Mytilus edulis: one gene and its partners. The protein of the gene in region 3 binds, or shares a complex with, the protein of the main gene of each other region. Links are inferred from orthologs where the notes say so. Each region holds a gene or a part of one and is shown on either strand. Other genes may lie near its edges.

Region 1 (7,273 bases), on a different chromosome or scaffold from region 3:
GTAGGATCGCTTAGTCTCGCTTTTTCGACTAAAGTCAAAGGCTCGACAAAAAGTGCAATTGAAGATTTCTTGCTATTGCGCAATACTGTGCAATTGAAAATTTCTTGCTATTGCACAATACTGTGCAATTGAAGATTTCTTGCTATTGCTGAATACTGTGCAATTGAAAATTTCTTGCTATTGCACAATACTTAATATACATGATATAATAATTTTGGATCCTGATTTGGACCAACTTGAAAACTGGGCCCATAATCAAAAATCTAAGTACATGTTTAGATTCAGCATATCAAAGAAGCCCAAGAATTCAATTTTTGTTAAAATCAAACTTAGTTTAATTTTGGACCCTTTGGACTTTAATGTAGACCATTTGAAAACGGGACCAAAAATTAAGAATCTACATACACAGTTAGATTTGGCATATCAAAGAACCCCAATTATTCAATTTTTGAAGAAATCAAACAAAAGTTTAATTTAGGACCCCAAAAACAAAGAATAATGCTTATTTGGGCCCTTTTTTGGCCCCTAATTCCTAAACAGTTGGAACCAAAACTCCCAAAATCAATCCCAACCTTCCTTTTGTGGTCATAAACCTTGTGTCAAAATTTCATAGATTTCTATTTACTTAAACTAAAGTTATAGTGTGAAAACAAAGAAAATGCTTATTTGGGTCCTTTTTGGCCCCTAATTCCTAAACTGTTGGGACCAAAACTTCCAAAATCAATCCCAACCTTCCTGTTGTGGTCATAAACCTTTTGTTTAAATTTCATAGATTTCTATATACTTAAAACTAAAGTTATAGTGCGAAAACCAAAAGTCTTAGGACTATGACGACGACGACACCAACTAGATACAAATTTACGACCAAATTTTTTTTTAGTTTTTGCAGTCGTATAAAAATATTTATTTTGACCCCTTTTGGGCCCCTTGTTACTAAACTATTAAAACCAAAAACCCCAAAATCAATCCCAACCTTCCTTTAGTGGTAATAAAGCTTATGTTAAAATTTTATTGATTTCTATTTACTTTTACTAAAGTTATTATCCGGAAACCATCCGTCTTCGGTCGACAACAACGTGATACCAATATATGACCACAATTTTATAATATTTGCGATCGTATACAAATAATTAAACACTAGAGAAGTATTTCTCATTTCTGTGATAGAGACCCTTTGTGGAACTCTTCTGAACTTTTCGGGGTTGATTTGTCAACATTAAATTGTTCCACCTTACATATGTTACAGAAGTTCAGGAAACTTTGTTAAAACAATGACATAACATTTTACCTGTTACTTTTTCTTTGAGTACATTTCATGAATAAAGTATTACTGTACATTCATTATTATTCATTGGTTACCAATTTTCGTGGATTTCCTGGGTATTGGTGAACCACACAATTAAATATTCAACGGATGACAAGTTTTCTAAAAGCTTGTATGAAGACTCTGTCAAAACCCTGAGCTTAAATGTTTACAAACATGCGTTTTTCTTCATCCACGAAAATTGTTATCTATGAAAATAAATGTATCTAGAGTATACCATCTATATGACATAATTTTTAGACAATTCAAATTCTTGCACACTAGAATTTAGAAAAGTATCCTTTATTCGATGTCAGGCAGGGAAGGGGATGGGTTATTTGCATTAATTGCAGCATGGCTGATGCAGTGTTATAATGTCTGAAGTTGATGCAGGAAGTAACGGCCAAACTGCCATGACGTCCCTAGGACGAAACGGACATACCCCGAAAATATGAAACGGCCATACCCCGAAAAGATGAAACGGCCATAGTACAAAAACGGCCATACTATGTAAAGACGTATCGTCCATGTTTTAATTTTTTTTTTAAATGTGATGTTATATATGAAATATTTTCAAATTGATACTTATAGATGGTTATTATAACTTTTTAATAAACTATACTGTTTTTACATTATTTATCATGTTTAATTTTGTTATATCATTTGTTTACGCATTATGTATATCATATAGGAATGTGTTTAATCTAATAACATATTAAAATATCATATTGTTTTCCAAATGATTTTATGATATCTTGCGTATAACTAACAGAACAAAATGCACAAATATGATTCGAATGACTTTATCCGAATGGGAGACTTATTTCTGTCAAAATTATCAGTCAGAGCTCAGACATAAACAAGTCGATTTTTGTTTTTGACTTAAAGAAGTCAAAACATGTATTTATTATAAAAATGTGTTTTCAATTTTAGACTTATCTAAGTCAGAAAATGACAGACTTGTTTAGGTCTATTTATGTTGATAAAAAAAACTTAATTGTACAAATGTACTTAGTGGCCAAAGTACACCACCTATGGCAGCAAAAACCTGTCTGAGAGTTCACAAGGACTTGAGCTATCTATATTCAATTATCTAATTGAACATCCTTACTAAACACAGATGTTTTACCTCATTAAGTGTGGTTCCAGGTGGTTGCATTGTAAGATTAATTAACATTATTTTCGATTTTTTAGACTCTCATTCATATTTTTCTTTAGAAGACAAAGCATTGCCTTTCAATGTTGTCATTATTTGATTTAGATGCATGACCTTTTCATAAATATGCGTGGGACTTGGAAGTTAACCAATTTTGAGAACTTATCGACTTGTAGGAGTCAATATTTGCAACTTTTTGATCCTGGTCAATTATTTCTTGCTTAACAATATTTAACTTATTAAAGTCGTATTTTGTCTTGCATTAAAGGGAAACATATCTCAAAACTACAACTTTAGACCTCTATGAGTCAAAAGCAGATTGAGACTTATTTATGTCTGAGCTCTGACTGACTATAACTATAAGAAATGTCAGCCATGTAGTTTAGAGGAATAATAAACAACTGAAGAAGGTCAATGGCCGAAACGTCTTGAACAATTGGTTTATTTATACAATTATAAAAGGTATGTTCCCTATTGGAATTTTGAAAACAAGGATATAACTATAAGATTCAGTAGTTATGAAATGTAAAACAAAGTAATCAAGTAATGATTAAGTTTTGAATTTAAGAAGATAGTTAATTGCTTATTATTACTTCTTTGATGAACACAAGCATTAATTATGCTTTTGTAAAGAAATTTTGTTAAGAGAGCCGTGGTGTAGTGGTTAGTGCATCGGACTACTAACACAAAGGTTCCTGGTTCGATTCCAATCTGGGATGAAAATTTTGACACCATTTGCGAGTATGGTCTTGAGGAAACGATGATAGTCCGTCGGACGGGGACCATAAATAAGAGAGAGCCATATCTCTTGCACGTTAAAGACACCCTTGTAGATTTCGAAAAAGAGCAGGCTAATGCCGCTACAAGGCAGCACTCGCACCCGCAAAGTGGAAAGGGATTAACATAAGTTGCAAAACTTGTTTCCCAATCCACTATAAATAAATATGCTTAAACTAAACTAAAGAAATTCAAAAAGAAATACTGTTCAAGATCTCTATAAAAACACAGCACCCAAGCTGAGTTCAAGCGGAGTGCAAACATACATTGATTGGGTAGTGAAATGCTGTTCGAGCAGTCTAAAAAGTAACACAGGCTTTGCAATATTTTATCATTATATTCTATGTTTATATAACCTCAATAATTTTGTGTGGCCGATGTGGCGGTATGGCCGACAAATCCTATGGCCGTTATGGAAGTATGGCCGACCCGTCTCGAAAGCTCTGAAGTACATGTCACCATACTATATCAAGTTACTAATTAATTTTTTTTTCAAATGTACTCAATTTAATTATTGATAATTTATATAAAAAAAAAAAGAAAAAAAAACTGTTATAAATAATCCAGAAGTCAACATTATTAAAACAGTTGCGGATACGAGTAGCCTAATGAGAATTAAAAAAGAGCAAACAAAAACGTGGGTAAAGGGGGGTAACTCTTTTTCAAGAGAACGTCCTTTCAGTATGTTCATATTGTTTATTTGGTTGACAGGGTTATTTTCTTACTTCATTAACTTCACCATCACTACTGTCATCATCATCCATGTCACTTGACCCTTCTTCATCATCGGCGACATCGTCGGCCTGCATTTTTTCTTCAAGTTGCACAACACGTTTCTTCTTCGAAGCCATTTTATAAAGTCTTTAAGAATCTTGTGCAAAACGAAACTAATTAAATCGTTAAAATTATTGATAAAATCTTTTATTATTTGTTGAATTTCACTAGATTTATGGAGTTAAAGAAGAATTCTACAATATTTAAAAAAATCAATTCAATCTTTTATGTTAAAATTTAAAAGTAAAGTTCATTCGTTTTCATTGAAAAGTTTAAAAAGTGATTACCTCCCTTGATTTTATGGCAGCGCGAATGAAAAATAGATTTTTTTCCCTGAGAAATATAGTATGCGATCACATTAAGCACAGAAGCTGTCATAGAAGTATATATGAGATCTAGCTGTATATTGTTTTCTATTTTAACTGTACACAAAGTACATCATGCATGTAAAAAAAATTCTTACACAAAATACAAAATCCGAAATTATAAAAGAGGGATATGGTGTCACGGAATAGAAGTTCCTTCATAATATAAGTTCCAAAAGGAAAAAATATTGTGGAAAATAATTTCCACAGGAATAAATATTACAGTATATGTTCCTAACAGAATAAATGGTATATAATATTTCTTCCAACAGGAATAGATATTATGACAATGTTTATAACAAAGTTTCCATTGGAACTTCTGTTAGGCGGAACAAATATACGTTGACAATGGGGCATAGCCATAGGGGAATATCGTGTGGGGCATATGTGAGCCAAAATTTGTCCCTGTAAAAAAGATCTAGTTGAACTAATATCATAGGAAATATGATCAGGGATATGATTTCTATATAAATTCGTTACATATATATATAAATATAGGAAGACTTGTTATGAGTGCCAATGCGACAACTCTCCATCCAAGTAACCATTTATAAAATTAAACCATTTAAGGTCAAGGTACAGGCCTTCAACACAGAGCTTTGGCTCACACCGAACAGCAAGGTATAAAGGGCCCCCTAAATTACTAGTGTAAAACCATTCAAACAGGAAAACCAAAGGTCTAATCTATAAAAAAAAATGAGAAACAATTATGAACCACATAAACAGACAACAACGACTGAACATCAGATTCCTGACTTACTAAAGGGGCAAACAATTGCAGCGGTATTAAACGTTTTAATGGTACCAAACCGTCTCAATCTCTATATCCTACCCTAGTCTATAATCGGTCATCTTGTTGGTTCATTCAGACTTTTATATTGTATTTATCACACAGGAAAACTGCATTGACGTCACTACGCTTATACCAGCGTTATAAACAAGTGCAGAATATGTTTTTTCTACTCTTCCAAATTAAAACAAACATTTCTAAATATATGTTGTCGGTGTTATTCTAAAGTATTGTACAAAAATGCCAATTTTCTAAAGGCTGTTTCAAACCTGACTTCCAAATGCTTAAAAACAATTCAGAACTTCAGAAAATCCCACTTCTTGCCTCCATTGCTTTGTGTACAATCGGTCCTTGATTTTAGTCATTGTTGTTAGTCATGTTAGTGGCAGACAAAACAGGCCAAGCAAATATTATGAATAGTATTTTTAAGAATTTGAAAATGACAAGCACTTTATATTACGTCTTACACGATTTTCTCCCCCCCCCTTGAAAAAAACCATCAAAATGAAAGAAAAACATGAGGAAAAAACAATTTTCATGTCATAATTTTGTTCAAGAATATAGAGAAGGTTATAAAAAACAATAAACATATAAACATCGTCCACACTTCGGACAATAACTCAAAAACACTTTCACCAATTTCCATGAAACTTAAGTGAATTGTTTATATCTATTGACGTAAGCTCCCTTTCAATTTTTATAAATTTCAGATTTTAAGTTTTGGATTTATGGGGCTTTATTCATAAAAAAGGGGGGATTTTAAACACTTCGGACAATAACTCAAAAAGGCTTTCACCAATGTCCATGAAACTTTGGTGAATTGTTTATATCTATTGATGTAAGCTCCCTTTCAATTTTTATACATTTCAGATTTTAAGTTTTGGATTTATGGGGCTTTATTCATAAAAAAAGGGGGATTTTCAACACTTCGGACAATAACTCAAAAAGGCTTTCACCAATGTCCATGAAACTTTAGTGAATTGTTTATATCTATTTATGTAAGCTCCCTTTCAATTTTTATAAATTTCAGTTTTAAAGTTTTGGATTTATGGGGCTTTATTCATAAAAAAAAGGGGGATTTTCAACACTTCGGACAATAACTCAAAAAGGCTTTCACCAATGTCCATGAAACTTTGGTGAATTGTTTATATCTATTGATGTAAGCTCCCTTTCAATTTTTATAAATTTCAGATTTTAAGTTTTGGATTTATGGGGCTTTATTCATAAAAAAGGGGGGATTTTCAACACTTCGGACAATAACTCAAAAAGGCTTTCACCAATGTCCATGAAACTTTGGTGAATTGTTTATATCTATTGATGTAAGCTCCCTTTCAATTTTTATAAATTTCAGATTTTAAGTTTTGGATTTATGGGGCTTTATTCATAAAAAAAGGGGTATTTTCAACACTTCGGGCAATAACTCAAAAAGGCTTTCACCAATGTCCATGAAACCTGAGTGAATTGTTTATATCTATTGATGTAAGCTCCCTTTCAATTTTTATAAATTTCAGATTTTAAGTTTTGGATTTATGGGGCTTTATTCATAAAAAAAGGGGGATTTTCAACACTTCGGACAATAACTCAAAAAGGCTTTCACCAATGTCCATGAAACTTTGGTGAATTGTTTATATCTATTGATGTAAGCTCCCTTTCAATTTTTATAAATTTCAGATTTTACATTTCCGTGTTATGAATTTTTATGCTTAAAAAAGGGGGGATTTTCCAATTTTGGGACAATAACAAACACTTTCACAAAATTTTATGCAACTTTGATAAATTGTTTATATCTATTGATGTAAGCTCCCTTTCAATTTTTATAAATTTCAGATTTTACATTTCCGTGTTATGAATTTTTATGCTTAAAAAAGGGGGGATTTTCCAATTTTGGGACAATAACAAACACTTTCACAAAATTTTATGCAACTTTGATAAATTGTTTATATCTATTGACATAAGCTCCCTTTCCATTTTTATAAATTTTATATTTTACGTTTTCTTAAGTAATGAATTTTTATACTAAAAAAAGGGGGATTTTATGAAACTTTGGTGAATATATTAATGTAACATCCCTTTTGATTTGTATATATATTTCTAGTTGATCATATAAA
Region 2 (7,412 bases), on a different chromosome or scaffold from region 3:
AAAAGTAATATCAGGTCAGTGACTGTATATGGCATAGAAATATACAGTCAACGCATTTTGACTGCTCAAATAGAACGAGTGCAGTATAAATTCATTTAAAATATTGCAACATAACAAATAGATATCTTCAAACATTTTTTTAAAAATTTATTATTCCACTAACCACCAAATTCTGAGCTAAATACCACTCCAACTAACCATGTTTAATACTCATCAATATTATTTAAGAGTTATTAAAACATTTTTTGATGTATGTCATTGGAGAAAATCTGGTGGTACTTATTGTTATTTCTGTTGCAAAATACCATAAATTCAAAAATTTTGCCAGTCCTTTTTAAAATGTTGGTGGTATGCAGCTTCTGATCACAACTCTTGTTATTTGAAATTATGTTTAATTGCTTGAAATACACAGAAAAAGAAACTAGTGCATTGTGTAGTATTTATCATGTTTATTAGAAAAAAATCAAATCTATGAGTTTGTACCTAGAAAAACACTTTTAAAGGATACTAAGGGTTAACAATGCAAGAATACATCAGCTCCATGGAAAAAAAAACAGATACTGGCTCTCTCTGGAGAAATTCTCTTTAATCAAACCTATGAATAAAGACTTTATGTCTATATAATTTACCTGACTGACAAAACTTCTAGTATCATATATGTAGACTTGTGACAAATCTGCACTTTCTACAACCACAGCCAAGCTAAGACTGTCACAACTAAGTGCCAACAATGATGGAGGGGCAGATAACTCTATTGACGCCTGGCAAGGATATTCTTTCACAATTATTTTTGTTCTGTCTTTAGCATGTTCTCTATCAATTCTACTCAGTTCAGATGTCTGTATCACTTTAAATCCTACAAATATGATGAATAGAACATAGGCTCACCAAAAATGAGGAAAAAATTAATCAAAATATCTTTCTCGATACTATCATGACTATCTTTTGATTGTAAGAAGCTTCTGTCCAAGTTTAGTTAAAATTCAGTGTAGTTTATGAATCTAATAAATATTTTAAAAACTTTAACTGCAGACTGGATGTAATGTTAACTGGAAGAAAAACTAAGTCCATTTACAGGTAAAATACTGAAACAGGAACAAAATTTTAACAACATTTCCTACTAGATACTAGCATTTTATCATAAACAAGCTTCTGTCCAAATTTGGTACAAATCCCAGATAGTTTAAGAAAGTTATTAAAATTTTAAAAACTTAAACCACAGAGTGAATGTACATGTAATGTTTCCTGGCAGAAAAACTAAGTCCATTATTGTCCATTTATTAGTAAAATACGGGAAAAAATGGCATTTTTTTTTACAAAATTTATTTCTGGATACTATCATATGATCATGATTATACACAAGCTTCTGTCCAAATTTGGTACAAATTCAGGAGAGTTTAAGAAAGTTATTTAAATTTTAAAAACTTTAACCACATCAGTCATCTAGTGAATATTTGTGGACGCTACTGACAACAACAACAATGACGTAGACGCCATAATGTAGGATCGCTATGTCTCGCTTTTTCGACAAAAGTCTAAGGCTCAACAAAAATTAGATAAGACTGCAATGCAATAGAGATTTTAGCCTTTCATTGGTTCAATTACTATTAATCATATTCATGCATTACATTTACAGTTTACAGTTTGTGCAGATTTTATCCTAAAATTATGCTAAAATCATGAAAATTATTTACCATTGTTTAGATCATACATCTTTTTTTAAATATTTAATGCTATGCATTTTTACCAGCTTTTTAATCATGTATAGTTTACACTTATATGCTTTTAGCTTTAATACTTAGCTTAGCATGCTTATATTCTGCTTATTACCACTATGCTTTTAGTCCTTCATTTTGTGCTGCGTAATTTATTGCTTGTGTATTATGTGTTGTATTGTTTTAAATGTTGTATTGTTATAAATGTCTTGTATGTCAGTTAAAAGCTCATTAGAGCTTATGTTGTTTATGTTTGTATACATTGCCGACTCTAAATAAAGCTTATTTATTTATTTACCTCTTCTACCAGGCAGGTCTTCTAAAAATATGTCTGGCATTGAACCCTGAACTGCTTTTTTTCCCCAAATGACTTACCGTTACTTGTACCAACAAAGACTACTCCATATTTTGAGGAAGCTGCAACTAACTGAGGACTCTTCCCCCTTACTGGTGAATTGCCATCATCTATCTGAAACCTGCATAGCTGCTGATATCTGAAATCCTGATTAAACAAATTAATGGACAATTAATATGTGATCTGTTTTCCATTTATCTGAAGTCTTTATAAATACAACAACATATGATTCAATATCAAATAGAAGTAAAACTTAAAATAACTTTATTACATGGCCGCACTGGCTCCCTGACCTATAAACTATAATTGGAGAAGACAATACTTAGTTGAAAAACTTGTGTCTATCCCATTTGTCATTTTGAACAAGAAAGTGTGTTTAAACTTAAAAACATATATAAGTCTTGTTTCCAAAAATCATAGACTGTATTCCTGCCAACTGTCACTATTTGCGAGGGTTTCCCCCTTTAGAGGCTTCCAATTTGAAATTTTGAAAGAGCAATTTTGTCCAAAATTTAAAACAAATCAAACAATTAATCATTGGTATAGGATTGTATACAGTATGCATGCAAGTATGAGGAAGCAAATAAACATCATTAAAATAAATTTGAAGGCCCCTTTACAGGTTGTGTAGGACTTGGAGAGCCATTTTGCACGTAAAACACCCATGGGCATTTTGAAAAGTTGGCAGGTATGCAATGTAAAGTAGGTCTATACTGTTTTTTGTTGCAAAAATTTTATAAAAATGAGTTTCAAAATAGTCATTTCTTCGACATTGTAACACCTGCCTACTATTACACATTACAAACACAACATACCTTCACGTCTCTTTCCGGAGGTTCGTCAGCTGTTGCCATAATCTAAATCTAAACTTTCGCTTTTAAATATTGCAAAATTTGGCCCCAAATTGTAAATATTGCAAAATTTCGTTCAATGTTAAATTTTAATAATCTGAAGAAAAATACAAATAGAGAAGAAAATCCTATACCTCTATCTGAAATGTCAAATTACTTAAAAAAGCTTTATGAAGAAAATAATACTGATTTAGATATCTCGAAGATAGAAATTGAAAATATTAATAATAAACATTTAGATTATGCATTCATTTGTAAAGAAGTCAGAGATGGCATTAAAAAACTTAAGAAGAATAAACAACCAGGAATAGACCTTATATATAATGAATTCCTTTTATATGGAAAAGACCTATTACTTTTACCTATTGTTAATTTATTTAACAGAATTTTATCAAGCGGAAAATTTCCAGATGCTTGGAATTTATCTTGTACTTCCTTCTTACACAAAAATGGTGACATAAACATATGCGATAATTATAGATGTATTAGCCTTACCAGCTGTCTTGGCAAGCTTTTCACCTCATTATTACAGAAAAGACTGCATAAATATATGGAAGAAAATAATCTTTATAATCCCTTTCAAGCAGGATTCAGACCAGATTATAGAACTGCAGATCATATTTTCACTATTAAAACTTTGATAAATAAATATTTACACAAATTAAAAAAGCCTATTTTTGCTTGTTTTGTAGATCTCTCTAAAGCTTTTGACTCTGTTTGGCACTCAGGATTACTTAAAAAACTATTAAATCTTAAAATTGGAGGAAATTTCTATAAGATAATTAAACATATGTACTCTAATTCAAAGTTTGTGGTAAAAAAAGAAAACTTTATTTCAGAAGCTCATAGAGCCAATAGGGGTGTTAGACAAGGTGATGGTCTTAGCCCTCTGTTATTTAATATATACACTAATGATCTGCCAAAAATATTTGATTTTTCAAAAACATTTCCTGTGTCACTCATTACAACACAATTTAATTGTTTACAATATGCAGATGATTTAATTCTACTGTCAGAGAGTGAAAAGGGTTTACAAGCTTGTCTGGACAGCCTGGGAATATATTGTAACAGATGGAAGTTGAAAGTCAATATTACTAAAACTAAAGTTATGATTTTTAGTAAGGGCAAGAAAAAATCTGCCATCAAATTTAAAATTAATGGTCAAAATATAGAAACAGTCGATAAATATAAATATCTTGGAATGCTGATTTCATTTAATGGCAATTTAAAGCATGCCGCAGAACATATGTATAATAAAGCTCTTAAAGCAGTATTTAGTCTTAAATCAAATATTCTAGATTATAATTACTCTGGTACCAAGCTTAAGCTAAAGTTATTTGATTCTCTAATTAGACCTATTACAACCTATGGATCAGAAGTTTGGATATCCGATTTTACTTTAAAAGATTTAAATAAAGATAATATACCATTTGAAAAAATACATAATAAATTTTGTAAATATCTACTTGGAGTACATAAAAAGGCATCAAATTTAGCCTCCAGGTGTGATTAGGAAGATTACCAATTATTAATTTTATTACTAAATTGGCTTTTAAATATTTCATAAGACTGCAACAACTTCCATCTGATAGATTTCTTGCTGAAGTGTATAAAGTAGATAGAGGACTTTTCAAAGAGGGGTCAAAATCATGGTATTCATTTATTGATTATAGTTGCAAAAAATTTAAATTGGATGTAAAGAATTTGGAAAATGAAAATCTAGAATTGAAAATACACGATCAAACCATCCAACTAATTAAAGAACAGCTTCAAAATTATTCTAATTACAATTCTGACTCAAAGCTTAAATATTTTTCATTTTGTTACACAAATTTTTCTCTTCAAAAATATCTTGACTTTAATATTCCAAAAGCACTATGTAAAAATTTGACTAAGTTAAGAATTAGTGCACATTCTCTTTTAATAGAAAAAGGTCGTTATCATAGACCAAAAATTCCGCATAACTCAAGACTTTGTCAGACTTGTGATTTATTAGATGATGAAAAACACTTCATTTTATACTGTAAAAAGTTTTCAATTTTAAGACAAGATCTCTTCAAAAAATTAAATATCGACCCCTCGGATTTAAATAAAAGGGAAAAGGAATCTACTATTCTACATAACATTATGTATCCTTTAAATAAAATTGATACAAAAGCTATCTGTACTTTTATTGAAAAAGCTTTTGAACTATATTAATGTTTTACAACTTATATTAGCTCTGTCCAGATATTATTTCTAATGTATATGCATTTATTTTGTATTAATTGTTTTAATATCTGTTCATTGTGTGGAAGACATCAATTGTGCACTGTACATATATATTGATTATCCAATAAACATATTTGATTTGATTTGATTTGAAATTTAATCTTTAATATCTCATTATTTCGCAATTTGTCTAAAACGTACAAAAGATTTTGATTTAATTTCTTCGATGTTTTCGTTTATTTTGAACTAAAATCGAGAGGATAACCGAATGACGTTGTCAGGAAAAATTAACTCATGCGCACCAAACACTTCCATTAAATTCCTATACTATTCGGTACAAAAAAAACTAGAACGGAAGGTAAACAAGGTAAACCATTCTTTTGTTATCGATAGAATGCGGCAGTTAATTGTACTTCATCTATGAATACTCTGTTGAAATTTTTCCACATTTTCCTACCTGGTACCAGATCAAACAACAACAACCAATCAGATAAATTTATACAGATACATGTATATTATAATAAAAAAAAATGTTCTTTCCAGCATAAAATACACTGGTACTGGATGCCCTCAACCAATCTCTTGTTCAATTGAAAGAGTAATAATCAACTGCTCTATCAATAGGTACACCTTATCGCTATATATATATGTCTGTTGATTACTGGATATTACACAGGTTCATAAAACAAACTATCTGATGCCACAATGGAAAAGTGATTGTTGTATGCGTCGCAGCTGGTATTAGCATTAAGGTGTATAGACCGTATCGCTGTTCCCGCTTCAGCGTTTGACCCAAGAATCTGGCCCACTTGAATTTTGACGTCATACTACAATCACTTTTCCATTGTGGCGTCAGATATTTTCTTTTATGATGTCAGAATTTTAAGGGAACTTTTGTGATACCCAGTAATGGCCGACAAATAGTGATAAGTGTATCCTCTATGGTTGTAATGGGGGACGAATTTATAACAGTAAATTATTTTGCCAAATGCGCGATATGACATTAATCATGTTAATGCAATAATTTGATAATTTAATAGTAATTTTTGGTGCTTGCTGATTAAAAGTAAATGGACTGAATTTGATGAATGAAGTTAAATTCTTTCTGAAAATTAGTGATGACAGCAATTTGACGAAAGAAGAACTTGTAATTCTTTCTAAAAATATTGATTACGGCAATTTAATGTAAACATACATTTTTAAAAAGGGTATGATGCCAATGAGACAACTGTCCACAAGAGACCAAAATGACACAGACATTAATAACTATACATGTAGGTCACTGTACATTGTATGTTACAATATTTAGTTCATTTCTCATTAGGTTAAAGGCTACCAATATGGCTGCCGGGGGTATGGAGCCAATGGACTTAGAAGGAAACCCCTCCCCTACTGATGAACAGGACAGTAAATATGGCTGCCTTGCTAATTTTAAAATAGATAAAAAGATAGGAAAGGGACAGTTTTCTGAAGTATATAGAGCTATTAATAAAATAGATGGCAGTGTTGTAGCATTGAAGAAAGTTCAGGTAAATATTTATAAAATGTAGAACTGACACTCATTTCACAAAAAATCTTTCAAAAAAAATACTTGTACAATTCAGTCATACAATTTTTATATGTAAAGAGCCACTGGTGATTAAACTGTTAGTAGATTGGGATAGAAAATGAATACTAGGTTTTGGTCAAACATGTCAAAGAGACAACAACCCATCCAAAAAGCTCAAACAGCCCAAAATTGTATTGATGTGGAGAGAAAAGCATGAAAATAAGAAAATGTGGAATGATTGCCAATGAGACAGCTATCCACCTGTGTCCAAAAGGTGTGGATGTAATCAAATATAGGTTACTGTACAAACCTTCAATAGTGAGCAGAATAATACAGTATGGTCTTTGTTAAAATCCTCAACATGACAAAATATGAAACCATTGGCAAGATCTAAGATTCATGGCAAACAATATACATGTACATGATTTACAGGAAAACATAAATAACAGACAGTAACAAACTACAACCAGCAGGTTTCTGACATTTATCTAATCAAGACTGACAGTTTATATCCCTTTCAAATTAATTCAATTAACACTGCATGATCATGATGATAAACTAATAAATGAATGATTTGAAAATAAGTTACACATAATACATCTTTGAGCATGTTTAGTTTTAGTTATACTATATGACGATTGTATCATCAATGAACTACACATTTTAGAATCCTAAATACAATTTGTTTTCAACTTATATGATAATGTTGAAGTAAACATGTGATTGAACTG
Region 3 (6,950 bases):
TATGTACTTGGCAGATAGCATAGCCTAATGTAAACGCTGCAGAAACTCACAAAAGTACCATTTATTATTCCAAATGAAATTTTTATATCTTAAATTTTATCAACTGATGTAAATAAACACAGTTAAATGACCATGGCTGCACTTTTGATCAATTTGTAGCCCATGCAAATAAATTAGACATAAATAAAATACAGGATATAAACTATAAACAAGAAAAGAGTTCATTCTCAAAAAATATTAAAAAAGAACTAAAAGATAGCTTTGAAAATATTTTCTTTGAAAAATTAAAATTAACTAATGAAACCAGTAAAATATTCGTGTAGTCGTAAAATAAAAAGAAAATATGAAATAGACAAATACAAATACATTTCTAAAAATAGTTTTGAAAATAGAAAATTATTATGTAAAATGCGAGTAAGTGACCATTTCTTGGAAATAGAGAGGGGTAGATATAAAAGAATTCAAAGAGAAAATAGAATATGTAAACATTGTAATATAAATGCGGTTGAAGATGAAACCCACTTTTTCTTAAAATGTATACACGAAGATGCTCAAGTGATAACACCATACTATGCTGAATGAGTATGTGTAAATGCTAACAATGTAAGCATCAATAAAGATATATTCTTGGACTTCTTTATCATGTTCTGTATAACCATTTAGATTCTACCACCTTTATCTACACTCCGTCCGTATTGTGGTATTTGGCTGCATATTCCAATTTTTGTTTGTCATGCAATTTAAATGCGAGTAAGTGACCATTTCTTGGAAATAGAGAGGGGTAGATATAAAAGAATTCAAAGAGAAAATAGAATATGTAAACATTGTAATATAAATTAATAAATTAATAAATCTTTACGTAATCAGCTTGAAAAAGATATAAATAATATATGTCCAGAATTCTTTTAATTGTCTGGAACAGATAGATTACAATTAATTCTATCTTCATTTGATATTATGCAACTTACTGTTCCGTTCATTAAAAAGTCATTTGCACTGAGGGGAGTGGACACGACGCCTGCATAAATATTACTGTTTTACCACTTTATATATGATGTTTAATATGTTCATTTTTCCATTGTGTATATTGTATTGTATTGTTTGTATGTATGCCTTCAATCCCCAGGGGTATAAATGTGCATTTCATGAATAAATAAAATAAAAAAAATACAAAATACAAATATTTTTATTGGCACAAACTCATTAACAATAAATGGTTAAGACCTATGGCATTACATATATATGTCGTGTACAAGTTGCGATTTTGTACAGGTTATAACATGTACAAAAATATTGTACATGTTATAACTTGTATAATGCAAAAATACAAGTTATAACATGTACAAAAGTACCTCGTACATGTTATAACCTGTACAAAATATTGCTTAAAAATGGTTTTAACTTGTACAAAATCGAAAAATAAGGATATATTCTATTATCGCAACAGATGTTATTAACCTCAATAATATTTTCATAACGTTTTTATTATTCCTTCATGTTAGTGTGTTTTGTCCTTTTTTGATACAGTTAATGTCCAGTGGTCGGTATTACGAAGCATTCCTAAGACTTGTCATAAGATATATCTTAGGACATGTCTTATGATCCTCTTATGACTATCTATGGACATATCTTAGGACATGTCTTATGATCCTCTTATGACTATCTATGGACATATCTTAGGACATGTTATAACCTGTACAAAATCGCAACTTGTACACGACATATATACAACTATACTGAATAATTGACATGGTAGAATGAAAGGTTCCATGATAACATATCATGCTAAATTATGAAAAGTTACAAAATGATGTATCATATAAGTTCACTATTTCTTATATTTAGACACTCTGATATGAAAGAGGAAGACAGTCTAAGTAATAATGCTGAGCTATTATTGACCAAAAGAGATATTTTTTCATCAGCGGTAATGTTACGCTGTATTTGAAATATAACATTTATTTTATTTTCAAATATTTCTCGCTTTGAGGTATATCTATTACATTATCATAAGAAATGTTGTTCATCCTCAATTTCCCCATTTTTACAGACAGGACAGTGTCTTTCCTCTCTAGGAACATTTAAAAGATGTCTTCCCCTTTCAATCATTAAAGGATGTGCACTTATGCGTATTTTGCATATTGCTGCTCTATCATTTAAATTGTTTAGTGAATCAACATATGATGGTCTTTGACCCATTTTGTAGACTTGACGAAAGAAACTGAGCTTAGAAGACTCCTGTGTGTTTGCATTTTGATTTTGCAAGCACTGATCATAAATTCTCTGTTTTACTTGTCCCAAGTGCTGCTTTGTTAGACAACTTTTTTTCAACAAGATATGAATATCCTAATTTTTGTAAAATGCACTGAGTTTTTAGGATCCAGGGGTTTGAAAATCTTGTTGCACAGAAAATTTGATTTACAAGTGTATTTTCTGATGAAAGTATATGCTCTAGAAAATTTATGCTTGAAAAAACAATTTTATTTTTGAGTGGAATTCTACCAAGCTCAGCACGACAAGCATCATTTGAAGCCTTGCAATGAACACCAAGTGCTTCTTTAATAAATTTAATGTGTAATTTTTCAAAGGGATCAGAGCCATTAATGATGAGTTAACACCCCAAATTTCAGAACAGTACATCAGTATAGGTGAATACCGTGATATTAATGTATCGAACAATTTTTCAAGTAGTCTACATGGATTATTCAGACCCACAGTTTTCTTAATTTTGAAATAGGCCTTTCTTGCCTTTTCCATAAGAGTATTATTTATGGCTAAATTGAAATTACCATTACATTTTATTACAATACCTCAGGGAGCTACCATTTGATTTTTATGGGGGGGGGGGGGGGGGGCTAGGATCTGAGACTACTATAACAGTTAGTCTCAGCTAGGATGAAATTTGAAAAAAATAGGCAGGACAGGAGTTTTAAGTAAAAAAAAAAGGCAGGATGAGACAATTGCAAAAAAAAAAGTCAGGACAACAATTTAGGTAAAAAAAAGGTCAGGATAAACTAAAAAAAAAAAGGCAGGACCGAACTGAGTGAAAAATAAAAAGGCAGGACAGAGATTACAGCTAAAAAAAATGCAGGACAAAATTTTTCATCCTAGCCCCCCCCCCCCCCCTAAAAATCAAATGGTAGCTCCCTAAATAAGAATAATGACTTTAACAGTTTCAATACAAGAATCATTGTAAGTAAATTCGTCCAAAAATGTTTTACCATTTGAATTAAATACAATGACTTATCTGTAGTTTCTGTAGTTTCTGTAGTTTCCAACAATCACAATAATCATATAAAGCATTAAGACTATTTTGTAGTCCTTTTTTACTTTGAGACAATAAAACAATATCATCTGCATATAAAAGAAGAATATTTAAAGAAACATAAAGGGGGCCCGGGGGGGGGGGGGGGGTGCTGCTGACTAACCTAAGGGGGTCCCGCTCCAGTCATGCTTCAGTGAATCGTCCTATATAATCAGACCCCCGCCTATGGGTGTTAGTCCATTAACAATTTCATAGGTTAGAATTTATGTGTTGTTTATTTGACTTATCAATCAAAATAAAGTTTTCTTAATATCTGATCTTAAAGCTGAGAAATTGAAAATGTTATGTTGAATATTATATAGCTAGTGATTTTGAATCGGTGATCTGACACCTACATAGTAAGTAAGTAAGTAAGTATTTTATATTGGTTTGAAATCCAAAATTATGCCTAAGCCTAACTTCTAATGGCCTAACTCGCGGGAAATTGAGAAAGCGAAATTGAACTCATAAAGACATTCCCGTCCAGCAAACGCAAAGGTCAACGACTGTAGCCAACGTACACACCACGGGGAATACATTTATATTTTTTATTTTTTATATTTTCAAACTAAGTATATATAGACATATAGACTTATCGAAAACCCTATTCTTTACGAAGTGCTCCTGTGAAGGAGGGATTTCCTAATACAGATACAGAATCGCCCTATTGGGGCGAAATGAATCTTAGTGCGAACGACAATCGGGGCGAAGTCACCTGAATACGGATGATAAAAGAATGGCGGAAAGCATGAGTGGATGTACATACCGGGAAATTTCAATTTCATCTAGTGTGGGAACAAGATGGAAAGAAATAAACGTCAACACAGGTATGTAGTTGACGTATTGCAAACGGGATTGTCTTTTACACTAGTTGCCATTTCATGCATTTAGAACGGCTTCTTTTTATATCACCTGGCATAGATCTAACATTTATTTTCGCTTTACTTCTTCTACCGGTTACACTGGGGTAAAGCTGATGACCGTCCTTCTTCTTCTTTATATACAGAAAAACATCAACTGGTTGATGATTACTTTCCGGCGCATGCCTGGTTTAACAATATTGTTAATGATTAAAATATATATTTTTGGTTTCTTATAATTTTTCAATTTTTATGATACAAATGTATATGTAACTGTAAGTAATATTTTTCAATTTTTATTTTTAATTTTTGGTATAAGATAAAAACAAGATACATATTATACATGTAGGTGTTTGTAAGTGTCAAGGAGCATCTCTCTAGTGAGTTTCTCCTTGAAGCACTCAGTAGTGGTGCTGCAGGCTATTGGTTCTGGTAATTTGTTCCAGTCTTTTATAGTTTGGCAGAAAAATGAAAATTTGTAACTGTCTTTGCTGCATCGAATTTGTCGGTATGTTTGTTCGTGGCTAGACCTGGTGTTTGATTGGCTTTTAATTAATATGTCAGTATATGTGGTATGGCAATTTTGTTGTTTGTTATTCTATGGAACATATTTAATCTGCTTTTGAGTCTCCTTTCTTGTAATGTTGGCCAGTGGAGTGTGTTAATCATGTTTGTTACACTTTCAGTATATTTGTAGTTTGAGCATACATATCTCGCTGCACGTCTTTGAACTTTTTCTATGGAGTTAATGTTCTCTGTTGTGTAGGGGTCCCAGACAGTGCAGCAGTATTCAAGTTTTGGTCTAATAAGGGCTTGTATGCTCGGTCTTTGATGGTTACTGAGTTTATTTTAAGTTTCTTCTGGTGAATCCAAGGGTCTTATTTGCTTTAGATGTCATGTTCTGAATGTGTTTGTTCCATTTTAAATTTGATGAAATAGTTATACCTAAATATTTTGCATTTTCAACTGACTCAAGAATGTGACCGTGCATGTTGTAATAAAAATGGATAGGTGTTTTCTTTGTGGTCACTCTAAGTATGTTGCATTTATCAGGATGGAACTGCATTAGCCAGTCTTGTTCCCATTTGATTGCTCCTTCTAGGTCTTCCTGGAGTTTAGGCAATCTGATGGTGATTTTATCTGTCGGTAAATGATGCTATCGTCAGCAAAGAGCCTGATTTGACTATGATGTAAGTAGTCAGGTAAGTCATTGATATATATCAAAAATAGTATTGGACCTAATACAGTGCCCTGAGGAACACCTGATGTAACTGGTATGTTATCAGAGGAATGGTTTTCTAGCATAATTGTTTGTGTACGGTTTGAAAGGAAAGATTTTATCCAGTTTGCGGCTTGATCTGATACACCGAAAAATTTAAGTTTATATAGTAAACGGTTGTGTGGAACTTTGTCAAAGGCTTTTGCGAAATCCATGATGATAAGATCGGTTTGTATATTTTTGTCGTTATTTGAACATAGTTGGTGAATTAGTGATATTATTTGGGATTCGCATGATCTATTTGCCCTGAAGCCGTGTTGCAAGTCATAAAGTATGTTGTTGGATTCAAGGTGTTTCATAATGTTGCTTGCAATTATGTTGCTCTAGTAATTTGCATGAAATACATGTAAGTGAAATTGGACGATAGTTACCAGGATGATGTTTGTCTCCTTTTTTGAAACAGGTGTTACATTTGCGTGGTTCCAATCGTGAGGTACTTTTCCTGTTTGCATTGATTTTGTAAAAATTAGAGTGAGTATGTCTGTGCATGTGTTGATGTTTTCTTTAAGCACTTTTCAGTGATGTTATCAGGTCCTGTTGCCTTTTTTGGGTTTATATTTTTAATTAATTTATAGATGCCTTCTCTGTTGATGTCTATGTCGTCCATTATTGGATGTGTTGATGGACCTTTGTCAGGGATAACTGTATTGGTCTCAGATGTAAAAGCTGATTTAAATTGTTCATTTAATATGTTAGCTTTTTTCAAGGGATCTGTATGAAGTAGACCTTCACTCCTAAGAGGTGCAATACCAGTGTTTTCATTGTTTTGGCCTTTTATGTATGAAAAGAGTTTTTTAGGTTTGTTTGTTAAATCTCGAATTTTCAGGCTCTTGTATTTCAATGTCAAAAATCATGTTTTCGATATAATTCCAATAGGCATTTCTCATCTCTTTCTGTAATTGTGTTTTAATTTGTTTAAATTTTTTAGTATGTTTGCTATCATGTTTTTTCTTTTTATAAAATTTGTTTTTCTTATTTATCAGTTTTTTCAATTTTGAGTCTATCCATGGTAGGTGGGTTTTATTTCCTATTAGCTTAGTTGGTATATGCTTTTGGATACTTTCTGTTGTTTTTGTTTTAAAGAAATTCCACATATTGTCTATATCAAGTTCTAATTTGTGTTTTTCCATATGTGTGTATGTTTCTTTTAAGTCTTTTCCAATTTTTTCCCAGTCTGCTTTCTTGTAAATCAATACTTTGTGTGGTGACTGTTTGGCTTTCGAAAGGGAAAGATTTATTTCACTGAAGATAATGTCATGGTCACCTAGTGGTGGTAATGTTTCTACTCTGTTTAGTAGGGATGGATTTGACATGCACAGTAGATCAAGTGTGCGTTCATTTCTTGTTGGTTTGTCAACTACCTGTGTGAGATTGTGATCTTGTAATATATCTAAAAGGTGTTGATGAAGAGAAGGATCTGGTTTGCTAGGTATTACTGATGAATTTGACCAGTCAATATTGCCTAAATTGAAATCGCCACTGAGCATGATATTTGCACTGGATATGT
Region 4 (7,844 bases), on a different chromosome or scaffold from region 3:
AGAAGTATCTTTTTAAACATGTTAAAGAACATCCCAGTTGTGTAAAATGGTTTCCATATCAAACAAGACGGTGGCTACTGAAAATTCAATGAACAAATACCTCAAAGTTCAAAGATCAATATTTAAAAAACGATCTGAGAAATCTTTTAAAATACAAATGTACATCATTTTGCAATGACAAAATGTATAAAATTTCATTAAAACGATTTTTTGTTAAACCTGAACATATAGTTATGAAGAACACTTCGTAAATGTGAAATGATTTGCTATAAAGTCATGTGACAAATAATTGTCGATGTAAGGCGTCAAAGAAAAAACATTTAATAGCCTTTAAAATGTCATAATTATTTGGACTAGGTCATGATGATGAGTCAAAGTAACGTTATAAAAAGTCCAAATAATTATGACGTCTGGCAAGGCTATTTTAATTTTTTCTGGGTTGTCCTACAGTCAGGGGACTTACTTAAACAAGTGATTTTCTAAATCACTGATTCAAGTAACATTATTTCCATAAAGGTTCGAAGTTAGAGTTGTCTTTCTCTAATAATCACCTATTTAAGTAGTACAAATTAATCACTAGAAGAAGTGATTTAATATTAGTGTAGCTTTAAATATAGAATACTAATGATCCAGGGCCTTAAATTATGTTTCTAAATTTATCAGAACCAACATCAGTCATCTGTGTTGTCTAGGATGACCAGGTCATTTCAGGTGATGACCTTGTACTGAATCTAGGATAATGACATAAAAATCACTTGTTTAAGTATCAGACCTCAATTTCCTTCCCAAAAATCACTTCTTTAAGTATCATTCTTTTAATAACCCCCACTAATTTCAACACCCCCGAACAGTGAAATTTTTATCGCGAACAGCGAACAGTAGAATTTTATTACATAATCTGAAAGATGAAACCTTGAACTTCACAGGAAAAATACTCCCACTGCTGTGAAAAATCTTTTAAGAAAGTATCAGTTCATTATGTAAAGCCATTATTATAGCATTTTTTCAACTAAAATAGAATTTTCAGAATGATAGCATCAAAGGCATAAACCTTGCTACTTAACAGAAGCAAAAAGTTCATATTTTTTAATTTTTACTAATTGAAAGATGCTATTTAAACCTATATGTTTAAAATTTAAAAAAAACTACAAAATCCCAATTTGTGACAAGACCTCGAATTTGCTACTCAAATAAGTGATTTTTACAGTAAGTCCCCTGACTGTCCTATGATGTTGTAGGAAGGCATCCCAGAAAAAAATTAAAATAGCCTTGCAAGACGTCATAATTATTTGGACTACGCAGGGGTTCAAATTAACATTTGGTACTAGAAGGTCCAGGACCTTTGACACTCCAAACTGAAAGGTCCACAACCTAAATTACAGGTCCTACTTTCACTTGAAATATTTCATAACTCAGTAAGATACAAAATTAATGTGCTTTTGGTGTTGGGTTAGCTTGTTTAATTGTTAGTGTCACTGTTGTATAACATGTTTAATAATAAATGTAATTGTCTTGTATATGAATTCACATAATCCTTTTTTTTTTGTATTGGGGAGGGTGTCACTGTTGGTGGGTGTGTTGTCTTGTAGTTTTCACTATAATATAAAGGACCATATGCATCTCCTTTTTATATTGTTCAATTCATACCCGAGAATACAATTAAAGTTCAAATTCAAAGCTGTTTAAGTGTGTCACATCTAGTTGCACTATTATAGTCATCTGTGAAAATAAAGTAAAAAACTTCCTGAGATTTTACTGGCCTTCAAAATTGAAAAGAAATTACCTCTTGGAATTGTAGTAATATGTTCACACTATAAAAACATCTACATGTAATATCAACATTTAGTAATGATGAAGAAAATTACTGTCACATTTTATTGGATTTTGACACGAAAATTTGTGAACTAAAAGTAATTTTGAGTTTCTGTATAAAAATATTTTCCTTCTTTCACTTTCTTTTCAATATATCTTTTGGTTTTCAATTCTAGTATTTATATTTCATCATAAAAGATGTATTTTGTCACCTGCCTGGAATTATTATTTTTTTAATGTATTTGATCGGCAAATTCGGAGTTACACTTATCCGTCACCGGAATCTGATCCGGTATTGTAATTGTCTTCACTTCCGGTTTATGGCATGCATTGATTTTCAATGTTGTTTATGTCAGTCAAATACGATTTTACTCGGATTTACACATTACTTGTTGGCGATTTTCGGTATAAAACTAGCGGTTGAACAAAATGAACATCGCTGTCATAATTTATAAAGATAAAAATAAATTTTGAGATTGTCTGGAAATTTTGGTTAAAAAGGTCGGCAAAGTTAATTTTTATATTCTTTCAAATCGAAGGTCTGTTGAGCGTAGCTTGTAACAATAACGAAAGTCTGATTGCAATAGTGGAAGGTCCACCGCTAATTTGAACCCCTGCTATATGTACGTTATAAATAGCAATTGAAAGAGAAAGTAAAGTGAAAGTATTGATTAAATTTACTGTAAATTCAGAAATTATTGTGTGCATTTATTATTAGGATTCTGTCATTTGAGACTTGAATGCAATTTTAATTTTTAATGATTTTGAGAAAAATACTGATTAATTCATATAAAACTCAAAATACGAGTTTAAATTATTGACTTTACAACTTTACAGGAAAAAAATCATATTATGGTGCACCTCTTTTTTGATACGACTCTTTGAAAGTACCAAATTTACGTAAATATACGTTGATAGTGGGTCTTCCCATAGATAGAAACAAGTGGCCTGTGACACAAATAATTTCAGACTAAAATAATTTACGCAGTTTTATCTGATAATCCATAATTAATATAATGATACCTGTGCTTTGAGTTTGTGTGCCGAATCCTCCAAATCCTGTTGAAGTAGATGTAGTAGCTGTTGTTCCAAAAGGAGTCGTCGCTGCTCCTCCAAAAAATGCCATACTTTTTCTATTCCTAAATTTCTAAATTTCCATTCCCGCGTTTCTTTCCTCCTGACTGGAGAGCAAAATAGTTATCTCCCCTAAACAGATTACTTCGGTTACACTAATTAGCGACAAGAAGGATTTCAGCGACAAGAAGTGACAAGAAGAATAATTTAGCGACAATTTTCGACTGGAAGATATAATTTAGCGACTTTATCAATCGAAAGTGATTGCTCAACGTCTCTTTGTTCTTAAGAAAATTATTGGTACTTTCAAGTTTTCATAATTATAGCCTTGCTGTATTAAAATCAAATACTTAAATGATTAGTTTACAAACTAATGAACTAAAAGAGACACGAACAGGAACATATATTATTAATAGATATATACTGTTCCCATGTTATATACTAGTATAGACACAATTGGTTCTGAAGGGGCGCACTACGTTTGCGCGCATTTGGGGATTAAAATATTTTATGTTTGCGCGCAGCTTTTGATTACATTTGCGCGCATTCATTTTACAGGTAATCTCAGGTAAAAATAATAATTCATATATATTAACACACTGATTAAATTATAAATGACTATACTTTATTGGTATTTTAATAATAAATATGACTATCAATTATTAATTTTTAAAATAGTTTGTTAATTCAAATTATATATTGTTCATATTGAATTCTAAAATCAATTTAAAACCCTGTTATATATATCTTAAGTTCAAGTTATGACAAATGGGCTATGTCACAGATTTCTTAAACTTTTGTCTACACCTTTGACTTGTTGAATTGTATATGAAAATCGAAAGTGGGGTATCAAAATCTCGGATTCGTACTTACAGACTAGTAATTAGGCCTACTTTTTTTTGATTGGGTAGAGTGAACATAAGAACTTCTCTTTTTTTCTTATTTCCCACTTGTACATGTTGTAAACATGAAAAAAAATGTACCTAAAGCCTCCCTTGAAAGATATTAGAATTTCAACACCGGCCCCAACAATATTTATTTGATAAAAAAAAAATAATGCGGTGAGTCTCAGCTAGCCCTTCAATTAAAATGTGTACTAGCCTAGTTCGGTGAAAATGGACGTCATACTAAATATATTTGATCTCAATAATGACAATTTTATTAAGACACATCTAACTGAGTTGACTTTAAATTAAGTTAATACTAACAATGAACCACAGGCACTTGTCTCAGATTCCCCCTCTCCCCTATATATATAGGGGGGATCGGTGTTTAAAACAACGTATTTGATTTTAACATGTTTAATGAAAGAAATCACTGTATTAATGAAAAATTATTACACAAGGGTTTTCGATATCACAAACTAGTCAAAAGATTTACTAAATGTTATCATTGGTACACATGTAAGGACATAATTCGTAAATGATAAATCAACATGCAGATATCTTATGTGTTCAGGTATTTTACATCAAATTTCTTATTGTAATATTCTCTATAAAGCACAACAATGTTGACATCAACCCCAAAATGGCAAAAGCTAACTAAACCTTTCAATAGACTGATTCAGGAGGGATATAGTTACGATACTATTGCCAGGTCATTAAAGATGGCATAGTTTGGTTTTAATATTGATTCACTCAAAGGGTCCTTGCGTCGGAAATATACACATTCATTCTAAAACCAATTGTTGACATGATACGGGATACATTTTCTCATATATTGTATGACGTTATGATACTAAACCTCTAACGGGATCGAAGGATTGTGCTTGATTTTCATATGATAAAGACATACATAATCTTTCAATCAGTTTAATTGAGGTCTGGAGCTGACATGTCAGTAACTGCTAGTAGTCTTTTGTTGATTTATGATTCATAAACCATTGTTTTTTGGTTTGTTTCTTTTGTTACCTAATCTGCCATCAGAATCGGACTTTCATAAATTGAGTTCTTTGCGAATTACTGTGTTTTTTTCTACGTTGGCTAGAGGTATAAGGGGAGCCCGGGTTGAGATTTCATTAAACATGTTTAACCTCGCCGTTGTTTGCCCGTCGTGAGTCAGGAGTCTCTTGACTTTGTTAGTCTTGTTAGATTTTTTTTTATAATTTTAGTTCATTTATATTTTTTGGAGTTAAGTATGACGTCAATTTTCACTAAACTAGTACACATTTTTGTTTAGAGGCAAGCTGAAGAACGACTCCGGCTGTGGGATTTTCTCGCTGTGTTGAAGACCCTTTGGTGGCTTTCGGCTGTTTTCTGCTCTTTGGTCGGGTTTTTGTCGCTTCGACACATTCTCCGTATCCATTCACCATTTTTCTTTTCTTTATATTTTCCTTAATGACCATGTTGAAACTAAGAAATTAAATCTTAAAAAATTGAGATGAGCAGAGCGAGACAAAAACGACAAAGCCTTTCATACCAACAAATTAGTTTGTTTTTATTGTAGGGGAAAGCGTTGTATGGTGGTCACCTTAGTCTGCAACTCAATAACATACAGTAAACAAACTTATTGACGACAAGACGTGTAAAGAATTTTCATTTGACTCCGATTTTATAAACAGTGATTTTTATTTTTGTGTGAGGGCCACAATGAAAATTAGACTAGTTCTAATTAAGTTACCCTCTTTAAATACAGAATTTATTATTATTATTATTATTATTATCACACTCTTGAAATATTTATAAGCTCTATTGTTGGTGGCCGTACGGTGACCTATGATAGTTCTTAATTTCTGCGTAGTGTCTCATTCATCATACCGCATCTACTTTTCATATTATCTTTCAAACTTTCGATACTAAATCTGCATGGCTAAAATTTCGATTTTAGAAAATTTAGCTCACTGTGATTCGCGTGTAAAATTAGATTGGTGTGAACTTCAAATATTGAGTTATCTTATAAAATGCTGTTATGTCTTTTATGGCAGATGACTTGCTTTAGGAGGTATTAATTTCTAACGCTGAAATTGTGTAATGTATATCTAATTTCATTGTACATTATTCATTGTACAACGTATTTACTTTAGACGCATTTGTTGGTAACCCGCCTGTAAGTGACACCGGTTTATAACAGTAGTATATGGGTCTCTCCTGTGGTATCAGCGATTTTCATGTTTATTTCTACAGGCGTACAAGTGAGCCGCTACATCTATTTAAATACAAATATATAGTATTCTATAAATAATATAATGTTTGAAAAAGGAAGTTTTTAATTGTTTCCATGTTTCCTTCCTTTAATTCTGTCTACGAATCGCTGAAAATAAAGAATAAAACTATGATATCATGACAGCATTTGATTTAACATTATTGCACTTTTTTTTTAAAGAAGCTCGTACGATATACGATAATTTCCCACCTAAAAACCCCATAACATCCTTTCTTTTATATCGTATTTACGGTCTAATAACTGAAAAAATCAACAAAGGACACTTTTGAAATTAAAACCTCAAGACTTAGTGCATTTTGTTTGGTAGTCGGAATACTAAGTAAACTATAAAATTTAAATGATAAAAAATACTTCCCCAAAGTTGTTACCTGTCATCTGGTCATAAAGTTAAATGTGTCACAATCGGTCGAAACTCAAATATATACTTCCCGTATGCGGACGTTGTAAAAACCATATTATGTTTATCTAATGGATGTGCAATAAACATGCAGGTAAGAAATCTTCATTTCAATTCATTTCACTGATGTATGAAATATTCGTTTTGAAAATAGAGTAAGGGGAAAGGTGCATACATAATCTTTAAATGATATAGGAGCCACAATCATGTTCTTATATTTGTATCGACTATACTTTTGAATCCTTTTCATATTTTATAAATACATGTACACATGTATTTATTTACAGTAAGATGTTGAAAGTCTATTGGCTTCCTATAATTCTACGCGTTGCATTGAAATACTCGATTTAAAGCGCACACTTAAACGAATTATACATATCAACGTAACAGCTGTTGAACAGGTCAATAAAAAAAGACACATCTTGGAGCACAAATGCACGTCGAATAACTCAACCCTTTCTCTTGACTAGTTAATACTTTGTACACATTTTGTTTGGGGACCAGCTGAAGCCCTTCTCCGGTCGCAGCATTTTCTAGCTGTGTTGAAGACCCATTGGTTGCATTCGCTTGTTTTTTGCGCTTTGGTCGGGTTGTTATCTCTTTGCCGCATTCGATCCCATTTCCATTCTTAATTTTAGCTATAATTCCCTTTCTTTCATTTCTTTTTTTCTTACTTATTTATATATGTTTACTAAAAACTGCTATGATACTTAATGACCCAGTATTCTGATTGCAAGTGTCAATATCATGGAAATCTCTTAGTTATAGCAGTAAATTTGTAAAAGAAAAAAAACCGAAAACCAAATTAAAAGGGACGTGCAGCACAACAGTTGCATTATGTCGACTCCTTGGTTCCAGCGATAGTTGTGCATAAGGGTTTGGATGAGGTTTACACAAAGGAGAATAATAGGGAAAAAGTGTATAATTAACATCTTTGAAATATAGAGATGAGCGAAAAGAGTAAAGAATAGAGAATAAAAGGGTGCTCAAATATAAAGAATAATGGCAAAATAAATAAAGAATAGAGAGGGAAATGATTAAAGAATAAAGAAATTAAAGATCACACATTCATACAGACCCTAATGCATACATCCTGTAATGCCTGCAAACAAATATCATCATTCAAAACTCACCCTGTGTGATCTACAAAACACAACGAGGAAACTGAATTACTAGACTGAGGGGGGTAGGAGGGGTCCTGATCCCGAAATCCCGGGCTTAAAAACACGAAATCCCGAGGTCTCGAATTTAAATAAAGTTAAATCCCGGATCCCGAAATTTAAAAAAAAGAATTCCCGGATCCCGAAGGAGTAAATCCCGAAATCCCGAGCTTAAAAACACCAGATCCCGGAGTCCCGATAAATGTCCTATCCCCCCCTCTAGACTTAACATAAACTGA

What was found.
Region 1: nuclear pore complex protein Nup160-like (region 3) and nuclear pore complex protein Nup107-like share a complex: the UniProt entries of both Drosophila melanogaster proteins name them as parts of the nuclear pore complex. The link is inferred for Mytilus edulis from reciprocal best matches to the Drosophila melanogaster genes Nup160 and Nup107.
Region 2: nuclear pore complex protein Nup160-like (region 3) and nuclear pore complex protein Nup214-like share a complex: the UniProt entries of both Drosophila melanogaster proteins name them as parts of the nuclear pore complex. The link is inferred for Mytilus edulis from reciprocal best matches to the Drosophila melanogaster genes Nup160 and Nup214.
Region 4: nuclear pore complex protein Nup160-like (region 3) and nuclear pore complex protein Nup54-like share a complex: the UniProt entries of both Drosophila melanogaster proteins name them as parts of the nuclear pore complex. The link is inferred for Mytilus edulis from reciprocal best matches to the Drosophila melanogaster genes Nup160 and Nup54.

What each region holds. Positions count from the first base shown.
Region 1 is NC_092347.1:43,234,026-43,241,298, reverse strand, and holds the start of nuclear pore complex protein Nup107-like, read left to right. Parts: upstream 1-4,272; 5' UTR 4,273-4,392; intron 4,393-7,273. Other genes in the region: protein BCCIP homolog, read right to left, coding at 3,962-4,087. UniProt on the Drosophila melanogaster protein: Plays a role in nuclear pore complex (NPC) assembly and maintenance. Required for nuclear import of Mad. Mediates the association between the nuclear pore complex and a subset of active chromatin regions adjacent to lamin-associated domains.
Region 2 is NC_092345.1:2,075,619-2,083,030, reverse strand, and holds the start of nuclear pore complex protein Nup214-like, read right to left. Parts: upstream 3,013-7,412; 5' UTR 2,925-3,012; coding exon 2,886-2,924; intron 2,218-2,885; coding exon 2,091-2,217; intron 857-2,090; coding exon 630-856; intron 1-629. Other genes in the region: serine/threonine-protein kinase Nek7-like, read left to right, coding at 6,473-6,661. UniProt on the Drosophila melanogaster protein: Part of the nuclear pore complex. Serves as a docking site in the receptor-mediated import of substrates across the nuclear pore complex including emb, RanGAP and phosphorylated Mad. Protects mbo/Nup88 from proteasomal degradation at the nuclear pore.
Region 3 is NC_092350.1:78,084,029-78,090,978, reverse strand, and holds the start of nuclear pore complex protein Nup160-like, read left to right. Parts: upstream 1-3,937; 5' UTR 3,938-4,040; coding exon 4,041-4,131; intron 4,132-6,950. UniProt on the Drosophila melanogaster protein: Functions as a component of the nuclear pore complex (NPC). Involved in poly(A)+ RNA transport. Required for nuclear import of Mad. May play a role in double strand break DNA repair. Essential for nephrocyte development.
Region 4 is NC_092351.1:43,985,777-43,993,620, forward strand, and holds the start of nuclear pore complex protein Nup54-like, read right to left. Parts: upstream 3,016-7,844; 5' UTR 2,939-3,015; coding exon 2,836-2,938; intron 1-2,835. Other genes in the region: uncharacterized protein, read left to right, coding at 6,521-6,539. UniProt on the Drosophila melanogaster protein: Component of the nuclear pore complex (NPC), a complex required for the trafficking across the nuclear envelope. Essential for the nuclear import of nuclear localization signal (NLS)-containing proteins in an importin alpha/importin beta-dependent manner.